Linked DNA regions of Styela clava. The protein of the gene in region 2 purifies or fractionates together with the protein of the main gene of each other region. This does not show direct contact. Links are inferred from orthologs where the notes say so. Each region holds a gene or a part of one and is shown on either strand. Other genes may lie near its edges. The genes, in order: endoribonuclease Dicer-like and protein argonaute-2-like.

The links.
Region 1: the proteins of protein argonaute-2-like (region 2) and endoribonuclease Dicer-like purify together in Drosophila melanogaster (affinity purification with western blotting; 5 studies listed by BioGRID, with this or other methods). This does not show direct contact. The link is inferred for Styela clava from reciprocal best matches to the Drosophila melanogaster genes AGO1 and Dcr-1.

Annotation. Positions count from the first base shown.
Region 1 is NC_135251.1:17,065,752-17,076,067, forward strand, and holds the start of endoribonuclease Dicer-like, read left to right. Parts: upstream 1-5,625; 5' UTR 5,626-5,750; coding exon 5,751-5,786; intron 5,787-6,566; coding exon 6,567-6,735; intron 6,736-7,409; coding exon 7,410-7,537; intron 7,538-7,711; coding exon 7,712-7,849; intron 7,850-8,852; coding exon 8,853-8,978; intron 8,979-9,593; coding exon 9,594-9,797; intron 9,798-10,316. Other genes in the region: nucleoporin SEH1-like, read left to right, coding at 275-1,347, 3,912-3,996. UniProt on the Drosophila melanogaster protein: Endoribonuclease which functions in microRNA- (miRNA) gene silencing and, independently of its ribonuclease III activity, also acts in the short interfering RNA- (siRNA) gene silencing pathway.
Region 2 is NC_135255.1:14,039,350-14,049,468, reverse strand, and holds the start of protein argonaute-2-like, read right to left. Parts: upstream 4,085-10,119; 5' UTR 3,997-4,084; coding exon 3,873-3,996; intron 3,497-3,872; coding exon 3,301-3,496; intron 2,869-3,300; coding exon 2,748-2,868; intron 1,504-2,747; coding exon 1,322-1,503; intron 937-1,321; coding exon 800-936; intron 358-799; coding exon 212-357; intron 141-211; coding exon 1-140. Other genes in the region: uncharacterized protein LOC120331088, read left to right, coding at 6,496-6,595, 6,752-6,836, 7,154-7,304.

The DNA.
Region 1 (10,316 bases), on a different chromosome or scaffold from region 2:
TGATGCAAAACATTTGAACCACTAACTAAAGACATGCATGCATCGCGGGTACCCATCTCTTAATGAATACCAAGTGGCCAGTACCAAGAGCTACAAGGAGGCTGTTTAAATCAGAACAATCATGAAAGCACAATCAATTTACTCAAAATTTGCCCAAATTTTAAATTTAATTTTAATTAAATTAAATTTTAATCAGAACAATCATGAAAGCACAATCAATTTACTCAAAATTTATATTTTACATATCTCAACTTGTAGTAATTTTATAGCTAAAATGGATGATACAGAATCACTAGCTGAATTTAGTGCCATTAAGATCAATGCCGAACATAAGGATCTTATTCATGACCTTGCTTTCGATCATTATGGAAAGCGTATGGCGACTTGTTCCAGTGATCAAACTGTCAAAGTATGGGATTTAGATGATGATGGTGATTGGTACTGCAGTTCCAGCTGGAAAACTCACAATGGTTCAGTCTGGAAAGTATGTTGGGCTCACCCTGAATTTGGGCAAGTGCTTGCAACATGTTCCTTTGACAGAACTGCTGCTGTATGGGAAGAGATTGTTACTGATACGACAACATTGAAAAATAATAGATCATGGATACGTAAATCGTCTCTTGTGGATAGTCGAACATCTGTAACTGATGTAAAATTTGCTCCAAAACATCTCGGTCTACAACTGGCTACTTGCTCTGCTGATGGAATTGTACGTGTTTACGAAGCACCTGATGTTATGAATCTGGCTCAATGGTCTGTTCAGCATCAAATCAAATTGAAATTAGGTTGCAGTTGTTTGTCCTGGAACCCCTCAAGTTTTTACAAACATCCTTCAATGATTGCAGTGGGTAGTGATGATAATAACCCATCCGTGGGCGGCAAGGTTTTAATATATGAATACAGTGAAATCAATCGTGATTGGGTCAAAGTTCACACAATAATGACAATAACGGATCCTGTTAATGATATTGAATTTGCTCCGAATTACGGTGCGATGAGACACACGCTTGCCGTAGCGTCAAAGTGTGTTCATATTTTTGTTATGAAGCTTTTGAGTGATTCTAAAACATCTGGAACTGAATCGTCTAGCTATTCTGTGAGTGAAGTCGCTAAATTTGATGCTCACAATAGCAAAGTATGGAGAGTTAGTTGGAATGTTCTTGGTACGGTGTTGTCATCGTCTGGAGATGATGGAAAAGTTCATCTCTGGAAAGCTAATTATTTAGATAATTGGAGAAAAGTTGGAACATTGAAAAATTTGCAAGATAATAAAACAACACAAAGCAATGTTTCAAGACAAAATAGCTCCAATGATAAAGGACTGTCCAATTCTCAACAAACTATCAGGTATGCTGGTGGAAATGTTCGAGGTGGACAACTTTTTTAATAAAATTCTGCATGTTTGCAAGTTTTAAATATTTTTTCTAATTTCATTCAATTCGAAACTTGCAATTCTGAGTGTTTGCATATGCTTTGTTCCCAATAATCTTGTCTTATAATTTATATAATTTTGAGGCATGGTTATGTATTTGCTATATTCAAAAAAATTGTACATATAGAAATAAAGTGAAATTTGTGATTGCATATTGAACTAATTTAGATTGGTAATGTAGTATTGCTCATCTCAGTCAAGCATAGGCTGCTAGGGCAATACATAGTGAAATTGTCACAAATTTGGGGTGATTGCTAGACATTGCTTAGGGTAAAGTGGTGGCTTACAAAGATTGAGAATTATCGTTTATCCTCATATATGAGCCGATTTCACATATAAGCCGACCCCGTAAAAAGGCCCTTCAGCATTGTCGTCTATTATGGAATGTTGGCATATCGGTATTGACGTTTTCAGCAGCGGTGAATTTTTATAAAAAATTCGTATTTAAGCCGACCCTACAAATCATACGCCCTTATTGGTAGGAAATTAGCATGGTTTGAGTGGAATTAAGTTAGCATAATATCATTTCGTTTGAGTGCGATTAGAGTTATGCGCTTTTATTAAGCCAAATTTTTAGTGCGATTAGAGTTATGCGCGTATAAGCCCTTAGTTTCGCAACTTTTTTGAGCTTTGTATTCGGCTTATATGCGAGGATATCAGTGATTTTTTTTAATCATCGTCAGTGCCTAAATATTAAATTAACAGAGGGGACCATTGAAATAGCAACTGGGGCTATTAATCTATCTATTCGCAACTAATTCATGATGCCTTGGACATATCGTAATTGAAAAATATTACTGTGACATGATTTTCTGTTTTTTTTTCTTGACATATAACCAAAAAACACATGTATAGGACAGGCCTACATGGTGAATAATATGCTCAGGCTGTGAAGTGGAAACTGTGGTACCATGAGATTCACAGGTGCTAGCAGCTTTGGTGTGAATTAACTGTAAGTTTACTCCAACTTCATTGAGTATTACTGGTGGCCATTTCGCAGAAGATTATGACCTATGATCAATGTTCCCTCTAATTTTTTGTAGTATGTGTGCGCAGAAGTTTTGGTGTGTGCGCACTTTTTTTGAAATGACTAATATTTGTGCAAATACCAATGAAGAAATTTTAGCGTTCTAACCGGGTAATGGGTGGGCCAACAACAAACTTTATCAACCTGCCAACCGAGAACATTGTTACATTACATCGAAATAGGTCTGTGCGCAGTAAATCTATGCGAGTGCGCAACCGCGGGCACACGCGCACACTTTAGAGGGAACACTGCTTATGATACATTGCTTTGAGTATATATATTCTCAAAAAAATGTCACCAAAATTATATTTGACCAGTTTGACCACGAGTACTGTGTCTGTAATGCAGCGCTCATAGGTGTAGTTTCAGTTTGGGTGTTATTTGTATTTGAGCAAGTTGGTATGTAAATACCGGTATATCTAATTTGTTGATAACCATCATTTTTTATTTGAAACTGCCATTTATTTTCATTTTCTTTCAGCCTTTTCTGTTGTTTTTCTAGTTTTAATATTTTTTCTTAATTAAACAATCTGCAATCAGTGCCAATTTTTGTTTGAGGAAAAATCTTACTTTCTGCTATCGCATTGACACAATTTCTCAGAATTTTAAATTATTTGGTGGTTATGCTGAAATTATGTATCGAATATTAACAATTAGTGATTATTTTTAATTCTTGTTTGATCACACATGTATCTGGAGTTATTTGTTCCTTCTGCCTATGATTTTAAATATGGTTACTGTCAAATCAAATGGAGAAAAACAAAATGAATTTTTTCTACAAGGGATCAAAAAACAGAGTTCTGGTCATTTGGAGCATATTCTAGAACAGTGGTTCTTAAACGGTGGGGCGCGCCCCACAAGGGAGGCATAGACAATTTTGAGTGGGCGTGTAGCTAATAAAAAATAAAAATATTTGTTACATTTAATCTTGCCTATTTTATTTTGCCCAATCTTTGTTGGATATTTTCATTTCAAAACTTTTCATTATTTACGTTCCATCCACGCATTTTCAACAGGTTTTTTAGATAAAATATACTTTCGCTTTGCTATCTGTTATTTGTAGCTTATTGTTAGCTAGTTATTTTTTGACTTAATAAATTCCAAAAAGGGCTCGTGCCTTAAAAATTTTGAGAACCACTGTTCTAGAAATGACCATAACTTTTCTGCAAATCGTCCTAGATTACTAAAACTTTTGCGAAGAATCTTACACAAACAGAAGTTTAAGATTGTTAAATAAATATCAATTACATAGAAGTACCGTAATTAAGAAATTTATGGGCTCTGTTTTATGGGTCACCTTGTATATATATCCCTGTAGTTGGGAGTTTGATAAATCTACAATTTTTTGAGAGAATTATTGAATTTATTTGGGAAAGTCCTAATTTAATGTGAGATGTATGTTCTTATGTTTAATTTTAAACCATCGTAGACTATCATGCTGTGAATTTTCAGGAGTGGATTCATGAGATTTGTGCCTGGAAGAGAACCACCATCACCTCGACCTATCGATCCTCGATTCGAAAATGCTTATTATTGATGTTCCTATAGTGATAATGTTTATCAACTTCGTTGGCGAACTTTATTAAAATCTATTTCATCACTTTTACTGCAGTGGAGATGAATATAATGAATGAATAAAATTTGTTTTTGGACACTCAGTGGACTTGTGAATCGATTTGCAATTGTTGTTGTTGTTAAAAAATTTACTTTTGTAACTAATGGACCAATAAATTTCATATTTTTAGTATTTGCAGATGGAAGAAAAACTAGAAGTCTATTCCTTTTTTATTTTTTAAATTCCTGAGTCATATGGGACCTGCTTTATTGCCTTTACAGTTAAATTAAAGGGAACGCTATTATCCTGTAATGGTCATGGCTTCTTTGTCAATCTTGTCTGAAAACAGGAAAATCTGTGTTTTCCCACCTATTAATCCGCTTTGCCCATGTCTTTTGCCAGTACATTTTGGTTCTACCAGTATTTAGTGGATGCCACCAATACCCTTTACTGATTATTATTTCAATTAATAAAATGACTCAGCAGTCAACTTCATGGGACATTGGTATAATCTGTGGCCCATGTTTTATAATTGGTCTCTTCCTCCATTTCTTTTTTATAAATGTATTCATTTTGAGTATTCTGATATACTGTATATTTACGTATGTGTTTTTGCTGACTTCACATTTTCACTAAATTAGGGTTTACACTTCAAAACATTAACAATATTTTCAAGACCATGCTTTGTAACCCACTTTGTAGGATTTCAAATTTTCATATCGTGCTTCATAACTCACTCTGCACATATCATTCAAATCGAATGTGGCCTGGCCCCAAATTTCTCATGGCCTGGCTTCTTTTGAGTGGCCTGGATCTAGAGTCACAAAAAAGTTATCACTCCTGTTGCACCTAGATGTAGAAAGCCCTTGGGATTGGAATAACTTGGTCCTAATTCACTTCATCATCTGACTTAGTGAAGTGCTGTGTATGATTGGACTATGCTTCATGGCTCAGTTCCAAAATCTTTTTGACACGCCATGGGACCTCTTTTTTATAAAAATGTATCTAGGTTTGCTCTTAACGAGAGCCAATCTGTTATTTTAACAAAAACAAAAAAGCCAATGAACGAAAGTTAAGCATTGCAGTCGTTAAATTTACTAATCAAAATTAATTTACTATTATTTATGTAATCATCGCAAATGCTACCCGGGATACACCTCTGCTCATTTCCCTCGGAGAACCACTGTTGCTCCATAGGGGGCAGAGGGCCCAGTTGGAGAAACACCCGACTAGAACAAGATATACCCGCATACTTTAGCTAGTCCATCATTAAACACTAGGTCATCATATCTCCATATATTTTAAACCACCTAATAATAGGAATTGATATTTTGTACATTGTGTTTATGGCTTTAGATATACCGGTTGAATTATATTCCATAATGCTTCTTAACTTGAAGTTCTTGATGATAATGTTATTGGAAAAAGCTTTTGTAAAAATCTAATTGTAGTCATTTGTATGAATGAAAACAACTGTTTAATGTGAAATCTATAGTTGCCTATCTCAACTCTGTGAGGAAACACTGAATATTTGCTTGCATTATGTTCTTCCTTTATTATTAACTTACAAATGCATAGTTTCATTTAATCACTGATTGTTGTAATTTTTTGGTTTTCTTATCTATTTATAAGTTGCAATAAAATTCTGTTTAAAACAAATAATGGACTAGTCACTAGAATCATAAATGTCAGTGATCTTTTATTCATGAATAATCCACATATGAGAATAAAGCAAGATGCCTGCAAATGTATTTACACCCAGGCCCTATCAGGTATTTAAAATTTGTGAAATTAAGTCAAATGTTGTTGAACTTTTGCATAGTGAAATGATATCTTTGGTTCAAATATTTATAGTCGTCCTATGATTATATTTCCACACAATTATGTCAATTACGGTAGTAACAAATTGATGAGGTTGAGATTTGTAGCATTTTGGATGGCTTTGCCTTTCGTACATGTAAGCCCAACATGCTGTTCATTGATAGCACTGTTAAGTATTTTAAACAATTCCAGTTAGCAGATATACTCTTGTGTGCTTTCCGTGCAATATTTCAACTGGGCAAGTTCAAATTATTTCTAATACTACATCTTGGATTAGGATGTGAGTGCAGGAAAACAAAATAGCAAAAAGTTCACTTTTCAAAAGAGGGCTTTATATGAATAGTTTTTTTTTAACCATGCTGTCAATTTCAAAATATATTTACCGGACCATATGGTGCGCTGACAATAAATTGCTCAAATTGGGTTTTTATTCATACATAAGGCCCATCAGGCAATATAAGACACACTGGGTACTGGTTTTGACTGGAGACAATAAATCCCTACCTGATCCATACAATAGGCACATGCTTTATAAGCCACACCATCGGATTGTTGCGAAATAAAAAATATTTCATGTGTGCCTTATGGTTCGTAAAATACAATAATACAGTGAAGTACATTGAAACAGTAAAATGTGTTATCTCTGAAGGTTCACCCATGAGTGGTTTATATCATTTATTAAAATCAATTTTTATTGGTATTAACCCACAACTTCATTACTAATATTTCAGATAGAGCTGGTAGAACGAGCTTTGAAAAGAAATACGATTGCCTGCTTGAATTCAGCATCTGCAAAATCATTTGTATGGATGACATATCTTCGAGAAATATTGGGAGAATCTTTCAGACCTTATAGTAGTGATGGTAGACAAACAAATGCATTTGTATTGTTTTATTCAGGTGAGTGTTGGCTATGTAACTGTTGTTTATTTTTGGAATTGATGTTATAAATTGTTTGTAATGATATCAACTATGATCAAAATGAAGAGTGGGGATAATTATTTACCAGAAGATTGTTGTGTATGGTGATACAAGTAACAGCTTGTTGGTTACGGCTTTCTCCGCCATCAAGTGCATGCATTTGAAACAAAAAACTGATTGACTATTCGCATATCTGATTTGGACTGGTAACCGAACGAGAGGCCATGGTTAGCCATAGGATTAAGCAAACTTATCATCTCTACACTTCCTACAATAAATATGAAAACCCTATCCTATTACACTATGTATATCCGTTTTTGAGCATCATGTTGATTATTTATAACCACATGATATCAGATAAGTTTTAGCTAGTTTTTCATTTTTTCGTGATTCGAAACTCTTATCGTACTACCTTTTATCATATCCTATATTTTCAGCATGACATAGGCAAAATTAGGCATTATTAATCTTTACCATTATTTGTAATACCACGGATAAGATTTATAAATTCAATGTACTGAGGTTGGTAATAGAGCATGATTTTTTTATTCCATAAAAACATTTTTTGCATTCTTCCTCCAGCATTCATTTTAATAAGTAATTCAAATATCTCTGACTAAATATCAATTTTATATATATATATATATATTAAGATTATTTTGTTCGTGAGTATGGTTTAAAGCTACGATGTCATCTTGACATGAGCATTGCATCAATTACATCTGATAAAGGTTCACAACTTGACTCATGGGGATGGGATGAAATTATGTTACAAAACATGGTGAGCCAAAAAAAATAACAATTTGTTCATATCTGATTATTCAAGTATTATGTAGTTTTGTTATTGTTATTTCAGATGTTTCTATAAGAGTTTGTGTGGAATTCGTGTTTGAAAATACATTTGAGAGTGGGAATTTAATCTTTTATCATTTCTTGAATATAATCTTATTTACAGATTATTGTGACAACACCTGAAGTGTTTTCTGAAGCTATTACAAATAATATGTTTGATATTGAATTTGCAAGTATTTTGATATTGGATGATTGTCATACGATTTTAAGTCCTGACAGTGACTACAGAAAGATTTTACAGGTATAAAAAACGTAGATTTTTATCATTTTGGCTGATAAATTTGAGAAATTATACGTAATTTTACCTATTTTTATATTCATTTGAACATGAAATTGTTGTTGTTAATTATGAGTGCCAAACTTTTAGAAAACTTTTGTTCTTGTATTAGACATATCTTCAGCATAGTTAGTTTTTATAGGATTATATTGTGGTGGATTCTTCTCATTTACCTAGTGGTTTCACCATTGGACCTATATTATTGTAGCAGGTGAAATATTCTCAGTTTCGAACCCCGTGCTCATCACTTCATATGCTGTAAATTGGTTAGGCAGCATCATACCATTTTTTTTGGTCCTATCTAAAGAAAACTTCTTGCAATAGCTTCAGTGTACGTAGTAGCCTCAGTGGCTTCTAGCAGGACTGGGGAGTTGAATTCAGAACATGAAGCCAGAGCGGGAGCCAAGCTTAGAAAAAAATAACTAGTGTGGCTGGGGCCTACTGAAACTTTCATGGGCCTCAGCAACTGATGCCTAATATGATTAATGAAAAATCCATTCTTTCCTGCCTATATTATATTTATAATTTTCTAATACTACATAAAAAGTTTGAAGTTGAATTTATATACTTGAATGCCTAATTTCCAAATTTGAAACCCCTGTATAACTGCTATTGGACTGATGTTTCATGTTTGTGGTCGAGCTAAAAACCCTAATGGCCCTGGAGCCAGAGCTCTGACATAAAAAATGAAGCACTGGAGCTGTAGCCACAGTTTGAAGGAAGCCATGATTTTAAACCAAGCCCTGGCTTATTGTATGAAGCCATGTTCAGAGTTAAATGTGAAATTATCTTATCAATATAGATAAAATAATATAATTCAATTTTACATATGGAAGATTAAATTTTGATTAGTGTAATTTAGGTAATCTGAATTTGTTAAGTTTAGTCTTTTAGGTAGAAAAATTTGAAATATTGTGTTGATTTTAAGTCAGGCATCTTTCACTGTATTTTCTACATTATTTAAAAGGTTTTTGACAAAGCGGGAAAAAATCCGTACATTCTGGGGTTAACTTGTTCGCTACTACGAGAAAATGGCTCAGCATCAGTATTGGAAAAAGACATCAATGAAATGGAGAGATTACTTCATTGTAAGGTAATAGAACCCTTCTGATGACTGAAACTAATTTTTCTTTTTCTAATTGAAATGAGTCTCAATCAATACAGTCATTACTTATGGACATGCCTGTTTATAAATGTCAGCATTTGGTATATTAATAATTAAATATTTTATGTTGAAGTGATTAAGTGACTTTATTTGAATAATTTACTTTTTAAAATGCATTTAAATTTAATATTACTGAATATAGAATTTTGAATATTATTATAAAGTAGGGTCATGGGCAATAGAAAAATTTGCAGAATTCATCGTTAATTGATAGAAATTGAAACTGAGATGCAGAATAGTGGAGATGATATTTTTAAAATCTTTAATTCATTATATCCTATTATTTATTGTTAATATTAACTCTGATAGCATCACAGGTTAAAATCACTGGTTCAAATAAGTGATATCAAATCAAAAAATTCTGGTTCTTCCAAGCGTTAGGAGCTCCTCACTCAGTAGTAGCTTCTTGTGCAGAGTCTTGTTCAGAGCAAAAGGTTTATAAATATCTTATTGGAAAAATATTTACTGTTTCAATCTGGCAATATTCTTAGGCATATGCTTGGATTGGATTGTGAAAAATTATAATATTTTTACCTTTTTCAGGCAGAGACTGCGACAGACTTGATTGCATTGGATGGATTTTCTCCATCACAACCAGATGAAAAAATTGTTCTTTGTGCTGCAAGAAAACCTTCAGTAGAAATTTATAATAATGATGACAAACTGAAAAGAAAAAAACCTGACAAAATTTGCTCTGAAATAAGAGAAATATTAACTCCTGCAATTGAGTGGTTGAAAATATGCAAGGTATATATATTAGTTGTATAAATTCATTTAATTTGATATTTATTTTTACAGAAAGTACAATAATGTTGTTGGACTACAAACACACATCCTATTCATTTTTATCTGGATAAAGTTATGTAAGACATAATATTAAGACCGCCAGTTCACCACTTGTCAGTGCTATATTTAGGAATAACTACCGTAGCTAATTTACCATTGAACTTTAAACCCTGTGTAATCTGTACATGGGACACGGATTGTCGAGGAAGTTATTATTAATCACTTATAAAACATGCATCTGATCACCCCCCCACACGATCCAAATTTTGCGTAGGTTTTCACAGGGTACACTTGAAATGTATTCCTATCAATTAGTTGAATAATTGGTTGTGTCACGTCAACACATCACTATTGTCATCTTATTCATTGTATTCTAAAGCAATAAAATATAAATAATGTAAATTTTCAAGTCATGCACCTCAAAAAATATACTTTCGGCCTTTTATTCGTTTTTGCATCTTAATTTTGATCGATTCTCTA
Region 2 (10,119 bases):
TGGAAGTATCGAGCGACAGTACATTCTATGGTTTGTCCTGATTCAAGTTGCAATGGAAATGTTTGATGAGAAGCAGCACGTCGAGTAACATTGCACACTCTGTACTTTCGTTTTGCCGATCCACAGTGGGTTATTTCAACCTTAAAAAAAGTTGATTTATTACATTTCTGGATTTCCTTTCTTTTGAAGCGAACAGAAGACAAAAAAATACCTTCAATCCTTTAATCTCTTTTGTAAATTTGACTCTTTGAGAGTCTGTCAAACTTCTAATCATGTGTAAATCATCACGGTGAATCTCTAACACTTCACATAGGAAATCAACGCAAGACTGAGCTTTGTAGAAAGCAGTGGCAGAAACTAAATGAAGAATAGATTCAATGAAAATATGATAACAAAAGCAAAAAGCAATTCAAAATCATAAATAAGTTCTCATATACATTTGCCTGCCACAGACTTACGAGTCTATCAAATATGAAAATATGTTACTATAGGGATATAATATAATCCCACATTAAAAAATTTGAACTTGAAATACATGGAAACTAAGGCAAATGTCAAAACAGCATTCCCACAAATTGAAATAGGCTAAAATAATAAACTCTGTCAGGCCCGATTTTTTTTTTAACAAATAAAAGTCTTCTAGCGACTTCAGCTTTATTAAGCACTGACAATTTGAAATTGAATAAATTTGTCTAGTATTTGCGAGTAAGAAATTTTAACGAGTGAAACTCCAAGTGTGTGGTCGATAACATTCCAAGCCAATTATTAATGGTTATATATAGGCTATACGTTAATGTACCATCAATATTTAGCATCATCTTCCATTGCGAAGGCCTCATAGATTGATGAAAACCAAACCAAACTTCTCTTCCATGTCCAAGAGATGGAGTTGATGTTTCTGGAGATGAAAAGAATGATCGACCGACAGGTGTATATCTAGAAAAAAATGCAGTATTTATTAAATTATCTTATACGGAAATATAAAGGTAGAATGAATGATAGCAATTTGCACTTTCTTTTGAGGCCAAAGAGGTGAATAATGAATTGTCATGAGAAATGGCTAAAAACTGAAACGTTCAAAAACATGATTTACATGACTAATTTTTGAAAATCTGTCAAAACTACTTTAAAAGCAGGCAGACAGTTGGTATGCACAATTGTTAAATATTAACAAATTGGAACATAATAAAACATTTAGTTAGACAGAGTAGACAAATAAAATGAAAACCTCAAGTTTTAATAATATCCATCCCAAACAACCATAGACAATTTCATGTTGCTATGGATGTATGCGCACAAATAAAAGAACAAGTACACTCACTTCATGGAAGGTAAATGACGCATGACAACGTCTAACGCCTGCACAGTTTCAAATGGAATCCCATGCATTTTTCCATCCAATGCCAATTTCAATGAATAGAGAGATACACGAGCGCACCATTTTATTGCAACCCGAAAAGTACGATCTTTGCCTTCCCCAGGTAATGTCACCTCCACTTCAAGCTATAAACAAAAAGTAAAAGAAATATTAGATGCTTTCAAAGTCACCCTTGTATATTACAATAGGTAATAATAGTTCAAACTTGATGATCAATAAAGATTCATTGACAATATTCATTTATATAGGATCTAACAATGAAGATCTATGCACTGTCAGTCACATGATCACATCAGCACTTTTAATCCCATGAATATGATTGATAATGATAATATTGATCAGCAGAAGTCATGTAGAATTGGTGTGGTCAAGTACTTTAGAGTAAAAATTACAATACAGTTATGTGCCAATGCTAAAAATTTTCAGGTAATCTAACTAATCTTAAAAATTATTAAGTCATATTTTATTCGTTTGATTTTCGGTAAAGATAAAATCATTTTTTGAGCAGTTATGTAACTAGTAATATAGAATAGATAATAATCTATTCAGATTTAAGACACATGACGAAATATTTTGACTGAATTAAATTACGATAGATTGTTTGATATTGCAAGTTTCCCAACAAATATAATAATTATAAATATGGTGGTAACAACAGCAACAACACCCTAAATATCAGGGCCCAAACCATTACCGACTAGCACACAAGTAATTATTAATATTCGGTCTGTATTTTAATTTCTAAAATGTCAATAAAATCACACCCCATGCGCTATGACTACTTAGTCATAGACACACAACCAAATAAGAGAAAACAAAATCAGACAATGTTTTAGGTTTATTTTGACCCGATTCCCAAGATATTTTAGTTGATGATATCATAGAATACGAAAATTCTTGAAAAAACAATATATAAAAGACAAGCTTATGTGCTGGCATTTTCACCATTGATAAATACAAGGGGCTTTTCTAAAAAAATGTTAGAGAACCGATACTGGAGTAAACATTCACATTCAGCATATGCTATAAACACAAAAGCAGACACTTCCTCATTCGAATTCTGACGCAATGCTCGTGAAAAAGGGCAATGTTTCAATTGTTTACCATCGTGTAAATACTTCAGATTCAAAAACATAGTAATTTTATAATATTATACGATAAAATGGGTATTTAAATACAACTCTCCATTGTCCATAATCTTTGAAAACATCATAATACTAACTAGAACCCAGAAACCCAACACATATTGTTGAAATTTCAATGTCCCAACAAATAAATAATTTAAATATTCAAAGAATTTCGAACTTATGAAAGTGGTTTCATATTCACTCTATACATATATTTTGAATGAAAAAAAAAATGTATGAACCTTCTGATTATCAATAGGCAGTGGCTGTGCTGTGTAGAGGTTTTTACGGCCATCAAACACTGGATTTCTGTCTTGGAAGATTGCAGTACGATAATTTCCCACCATTGTTTCAATAATTTCTCTGAAAGTTGAAAATGCATAATGAAGAATACTCAATAAAACATTTGAGGTTTTACGGAAACTCGATAATATAATATCAACTATCAATACTATGGACTTATATAAAATACTTATATTTTCATCTAATATTGAGTTTCTGTAAAACCTCAAATCTATAACAAAGAAAAATTACCGTAACAAGCAAATCGTTAAGAGGAATTCTGAATACTGATCAGTATAACAGAAGAATAAAGCAAATATTCGAAATTTCTTATAGCTTCAATTATGATTAAAAAAAAAAACATGTAAAACTGAGTAAGGTTGAGTTGAAAAATTGTTTTAATTAAAAAACAACAACAACAGAAGTTTAAATACCAAAATTTAATGCTAGAATTGGCACTCTTCTATCTTCACTAAAATAAGAAAATCAAAAAATATACGCTCAATTAACTACCTGTTTACTCTCCTTGGGCATTTGTCTGGATGGATATCAATGTCATAATGATGAATATCTCCATTAGGAATGGATACTTTAAAATAATTTGCTTTCAGCCAGATTGGTTTTCCAATCTGACCCACATTTGGACGGGCTGGTGCTTGGAAGTCTATGGCTTTTGACGTACCAACAATCGGAAACCTTGGATCCCCAACTACAAAAATAAGCGTTATTTTGAATATAAAATAAAGACATAACTAGAAAAAAGAAAGACGAAACACAATCTGAACGTTTGTATATATTTCCAATTTTTTTTATTTTTAGGAGTAAATTGAAAACAATTTTATTAGAAAATATGATCACATGGGACACCAAAAACATTTTAATTCAGACAAAATAAATAAACCATATTCGACTTCTTATAACTGCGAGAATAAATAAAATTAAGTATCCAGTTAATTTTATAAATGTACATTAAACTGCTATAATATTTCAGTCAAACATAACCTAAATTAGGACACATCAGATAAGACAAATCTGAAAAATGTAAGCATAAGGTATTGAATAATATTTGAAATGAAACTGTTTACCTGCAGGTCTGACTGGAGGGGTAACTGCAGTTGGAGCAGCAGCAACTGGTGTAGGGGGCTGTTGCTGTGTTCCTGCTGTCGTGGGTTGGTATTGTGGGTTAAATGACTGCTGAGGAGTGAACATTTTGCAGTCTTTTACTGCTTGAGCAGTTGCTTTTTTGAGGTAAAATTTAAAATATTCCAATAATATAAAATTTGCTGTAAAACACAATTCAGTTCTGTATTTGTACCAGAAGTATAATCAGATACAATTACTGTACCAAAGTTAGTATAAGTAAATTATATTAATGCATTCTCTTATCAACGTTATATCGGACTAAGAACTATGATAGGTCTAATTTAGTTTAGTGGCATAACCATTTTTGCATATGTTATTCCTAACGCTCATCTGATTACGCCAACCAAGAAATACATCACTATGTCATGATCAAGTCAGAGCTTGCCAAAGATCGCTCAAATGGTCTGCGTCTATGATAATGATCTCACTAACGCCAGCCGCCCAGCGGCCTGTCGCATATCGGGATAGTTACAATGAGAAAAAGAAAGAGAATTTGGCTGTGTATACGACATAGCTTGCTCGATTCCGGGTGATCGTCTGCGTGTATTGGACGACTGTCTGTATAGTAACGTTATTTTTGGATGACGAAGTCAGATCAGATGAAGATTTGGAATGACATAATATGCAAATATGAGATGATGATAAGAGCAGCCTGAGACATTTACGATGAAGCCATGGCCATTGAATAATTCTGAAACCAAATAACGAATTATACCACATCTCTGCTTTTTGACTTCATTTGAATTACAGAATCAGATTGCCTGTTTGAATTGAATATATCCAGATATCAGTTTATAGCAAATTTTAATTATAGAATTACAGTAGGTCACAGTTCTCCAATTCCAAGATGTCCCAACATTCAATAAAACAAACGCTCAATTTGTCTCTGAAATGAGGGCGTATGGCACGACGGCAGATCACACCGTGCTTGTCTCAATGATAATCTAAATTAATCACGACGTGGCTGTCACATGACCGAAATTGCTTTTTTGCTAAAAACTGTTGAATGCTACTGTAAAATTATTTTTTAACCTATGGTAAATCAGATTCTTTTTTCCAAAAAATCCAATAGTGACATTTTTTGATTGAGCTTCTTTTCCGTTTGTTGTCGGTATGGAGGCCGAGACTGTCTGGTAGAGAAGAGGTTTGCAATCGCAGTTATAATTGACGTCTTTTAATGTGGAAGTTATCCTTGGTATCGGAGAGCTGTGCCGTACTGAATTAGTAAGCCAGCCAGACATGTGGGACTAGACTGAGGCCTGATTTAAAAGAAAAATTTTAAAGTTCAGAAGTTGCATTTTCGGGCAATTGTATTTATCCTAATTACCAAAACCACATTCAGACATTCATCAATCTATTTCATACTAGCCTACATTTTCTCAAAACTATTTACAGCTTCATATTGGTAACTCAGTAACTGGTCTAATACCAGAATACAGTTACAATAATATGGTACATAAAAACTGACTGAAATAATAATTAGTCAGCAAAAGATAACTCCGTAGATAATGTCAGGTTATTATCACTTTCAACTTCTGAACTAAAATCTAGACTGCCAGAAAATTGTTATATCCAATTTCAGAATTTGGCGATCCTTACAAAATTATTAATACTGTAATATGGCGTGGCGAAATTTTATTTTGTTTTTTATTTTGTTTATATATTTTTCTTTTTACTGGGCGATATATCTTGTTTCTCCAGTTTTAGAGTTTCGTTTTACCATTTTAGATTTACAACAACTAGACAACCTGTCAAAGTAACACCGTGCGGTACACTCAGACAGTACCGGTACCGGTACCTTACTGTTACAGTTTAACGGAAGCTGTTCGAAATATATACTTGATTACTGTTATATACAATGTTATTTACAGCACGCACAAAATCGAAACTATGAATCCTCAAGATACGTAAGACAACGCACGGTCGCTACAACAAGAAAATCGAAATCGGGAAGCCCAGCCCTGAGGGTTGGCTCGACCGTTGGTGACGTCGATTGAAACGAATGATAGCTGACAAAGCGTCCGAACACAAAGGATGAATTTCTTTGTTTCTTTATTATCTATGAACCGTGCGAGGAAAAAAGAAACACCACAAGACGCGCGTGCGTCGCGGATGCGGTTCGTGCTCGCCACCAAATATTCCAAACCTGGTAAATTTCCGCGAATTTTTATCCAAAGAAAAATACACCTCACCATTGCGTTACCTAATTTTATTTTGAAAAAAGGTGTAACTGTGTATCGTTTTGTTAAAATGTTGTTGTTCTTCTTGCTGGTTAACCTTTTCATTTCCGGAGCCACCCTGCGTTTCATTTGCCTAGTTTTATTCATATAATTTACATTAACTTCTGATAATTGTGTTTCTGAAGTAATTCAATCAAATGCCGATGGTAAGGAAAAAATGAAGCAATACCGCAAACTAACTGTAAGTAAACGCCAGGTTGTTGATTCATTCTTCAATCTTGTTCACTTGATATTATCATTATGACGTAAGAATAACGTATTATTTCAATGCAAAACTATTACAAACTTTTTTTGTTATTAATTGTCATAAAACTAGAATTAGAAAATGTCTGCCCTTCATTGGGAGGCTCGCCGAAAGCAAGCGGTGATCGATAGGAAAGCGGAACAGCGCAACAAAAGTGACCCGATCCCCGATGAAGCACCAGGTTTTTATCAATACCTATAATTAAACCTCATACTTAAGCTCAATAATGCGACATCTAACTAATATTTAACCGCATAAATGTTATTCAAACCGCAATAAGCGCTACAGATCATTTAAAACATGGATAATTGTTGTTTTAGTTACTTTTCTATTACAGATCCATACGAAAAGCTAAAAAAAGCAAGCGTTGCTGAAGATTTACGATGGGATACTGCCACACCAACTACCACTCTTTTCAATAGGTAAAATTAACCCTCCACTTTTGAAGCACAGAACTTGTTTGTGAAGCAGAATATACTGCTGTGAACTCAAGTAGATGTCATCTATTTTGTAAACAAAAACCTTCTGGCGTTTATCGCCAGAAGGTGAAAAGTTAAAATAAATTTAGTACAACCGATCTTGCATTTATGATGTTGTTTGTCGGGGTTTTATCCAAAATAACGTGCTGACTGGAAATGGGCAATCTATTAAAACATGAAAATTTTTATCGATATCGGTCAGCGGGTAATCATGAAATCGCTACCAGGGCCTTTAATTTTGTATTTTTTGACATTTTTAGGTCCCAAACAAAACTTGAGAAAAGAAAACAAGACAATTCTACGAATGCAATATCGAAAGATGAAAAGTGCGAACCGCATCAGGAAAATAAAACTTACAGCGCTAAGATAAGCAATCGTTATTCGTCCATTGATTACGTTCAGCAATATTGACATCGTCAGGCCTTTTCATATTTATACAACACTATTTAGGATTTAGAATTGATGAAGTGAGCATAAAAATTGAGTTTATTTCAATTGAAATATACGAAAGATTTATTTAAAATATTCGGACTGACAAGTATCTTAGAGCTTATGTCAAATTCATGAAATATAAGAATTGCTGATCTAAAATGCAAATATGAATAGTAGTTACGGTTTCAGTCGTTACAATTTTCGACAGAGTAAAAGATTCAGGCCTGATGTTTTATAAATCAGCGCCAGTGTGGTAAACATCATTATAGAGTCTTCCCTCCGATAGTACATGAAACTGTTTTCAGCTCATTTACATCCCACTTCATTGTGCAATAGCTATGCGAATGCAAGTCTCAGTCTTGAATGGTTTATACTTTAAACTTAAAGCAATGACAAACGCGCGTATTGAAGTGGCAAGTGGACATATGAGAACTCCTTAGCTAAATCTCTTCATACACGATAAAAGCCGACTTCACGAATAATTAGACAGAGGATTCTTGTTAATTTCATGAAGTATATATCATGCAAATTGAAACAGTATACTGCGACTTGTGAAAAATTAGATATTGTTGTGGTTATAACATATAACTCAAGGTATTCTGGATTGAGAACCCATCGTTATGGGTCTGATACACGTTGTTTTGAAGTTCTGAGGGATGGTTATTGTCAATAATATAGTGTCAGCCCTTCGCAATGCTTCACTTATCGCGAGTCCTCTGACATTTCCCATGTGCTCAAATATTCTTAGCTCATAGTTACATGGCCACAGTCCGAATTTCGATAAAGTATTGAGCTGTGTGGAAAACTGCATATCACCAAATCAAATATTTGAACTTATTTACTGCGGGCATCAGGTCAAATAATATATAGTTGAGTCAGAATTAGAATCTAGATATTTCTACAATATTACCTTCAGGCTGCGAAGATGAACAACCCTAATTAGTGCCACTACATAAAAAAAAATAAGCTTATCCTGCACAGCAACGATCTGAAGAAGCGTTACGATATCAAATTTCCAAAAGTTGTTGTTTTATAGTTTATTTTAGAAATTATACACTATGTGCACAAACGTTATAAAAGAAGGCATAATATAATATTGAATAGCAATAAGAAAAACAATTGTTTTGCCTAATAGTTAGTTACATAGCAATATTAATAAAATTCTATCGAAATAATAAAACAATAAAATGCAATAAACTTGTCATGGCCTTGAGAGAGGTTATAACTTCAAATGTTCGAGGTCGGACGAATGAAAATACTTATATTCGAGCGCAGCTTGTTTGTCCCTCTCGCTCTGATATATATGCATCTAAAATGACCTTCATATAAACTAGAAACCTCAAATTTCAAAGACCAGAAAGAACAATTTAAAAGAAACCACATTTGATAGGTTATACAAGATATTTTAACGTATATTTATAAAAAAAAGATTGTCAGAAAAGGGTAAACATCATTCCAGACCAAATTAATGAAAATTTTGCACCATAACCATGAAACTTGTTTCAAGGTTGCATCTTAAGGTAACCATATTTGATTTGCAGCAAATTTCCGTAAGTTTTGAATGTGACAAACTAGGTATTAAATTTTGGTAAAGTTGAAACATATAGATGAACCATCAGAAATTGCAATTCTAATTTCTGTACATAAACATTTTCGATTAAATCATTTCCGTGTGTTTAGGTAAACATATTTTCAGTTGATTGACAAAACGCTGAATTTGTACTTTAAAACTGTAATGTACCTCAGTCCTCAATATAAAGATTTAAATAACCCTATCTCACAATATGACTATTTGGCAAAAAAAGATTTGGTCCTACAGTCAGGATTCCCACGGTAAAAATAACGCACATAATAATACTTGAAAAAAGAAGTTGAATGGAACGAAAAACAATGTTAAAATATTGGCATTATTAAGCACCGTTCAAAGCATATCGGCCCGCCTAATTTGATGCGGTCAGGCTTATACTTTATCGCAGTCACGTTGAAATAGGAAAAAAAAGAATAGAATATGCTGCGTCTGCGAGGTACCGAACACAGCGGAAAATTAAATGCATAGAAATTGTCCTGGTGCCTATTATCTGACGAAGTATATCCCAAGAATGACGATTGTTTCTTGAACAAACCCATGATATGGGGGCTTGAAAATGTACCTTCAGAATTGAATAAATAGCGATTAATAGCACCCGCAATTGGATCCCTCGGTTTATTCTAAATTACGGAACCGAATTCTTTTGAATTTATCTCCTGCAGGTGGCGTGGAGTAAAACAAACACAAATCCCTCCAACCAACCTGTCATACCGTCTGTTGACGAAGTGCTTTGCAGCACGGATAAACGGCTTTAATTTCAGAAGAGTATAAATCAGATAAGTCTTTCTGGTGGCGGTGGTTGCATAACCGTCATCATATCGTCCATTCTCACGCCGCCTTTCTCTTCGTTGGCAGAAGGACTGTATTTTCCTTCTAAAGCTCTCTTCTTTTTAACTTTTTTAATGCAGCAATATATAAGAATTCCAATGATTGTTAATAAAACCACCCCACCAACTACACTTATTATTATAATTTGTTCTGTGGTTAGTCCGCCACTGTCGGAAACCGTTGTAGTTGTACCATCTGCCGACCCTTCGGTTGTTTCCATTGGTGTTGTTGTGCTCATGGCTGCTCAGAATTTCCGCAATCGATGTAGAAAAACGTTGAAAGCCTTTTGTTGATAATCCTAATCACAATAATTATCACAGACTGATTAACTCCGCTAATTTAATTCGCAAGTATTCTATCAATCACTGTATAAAAATA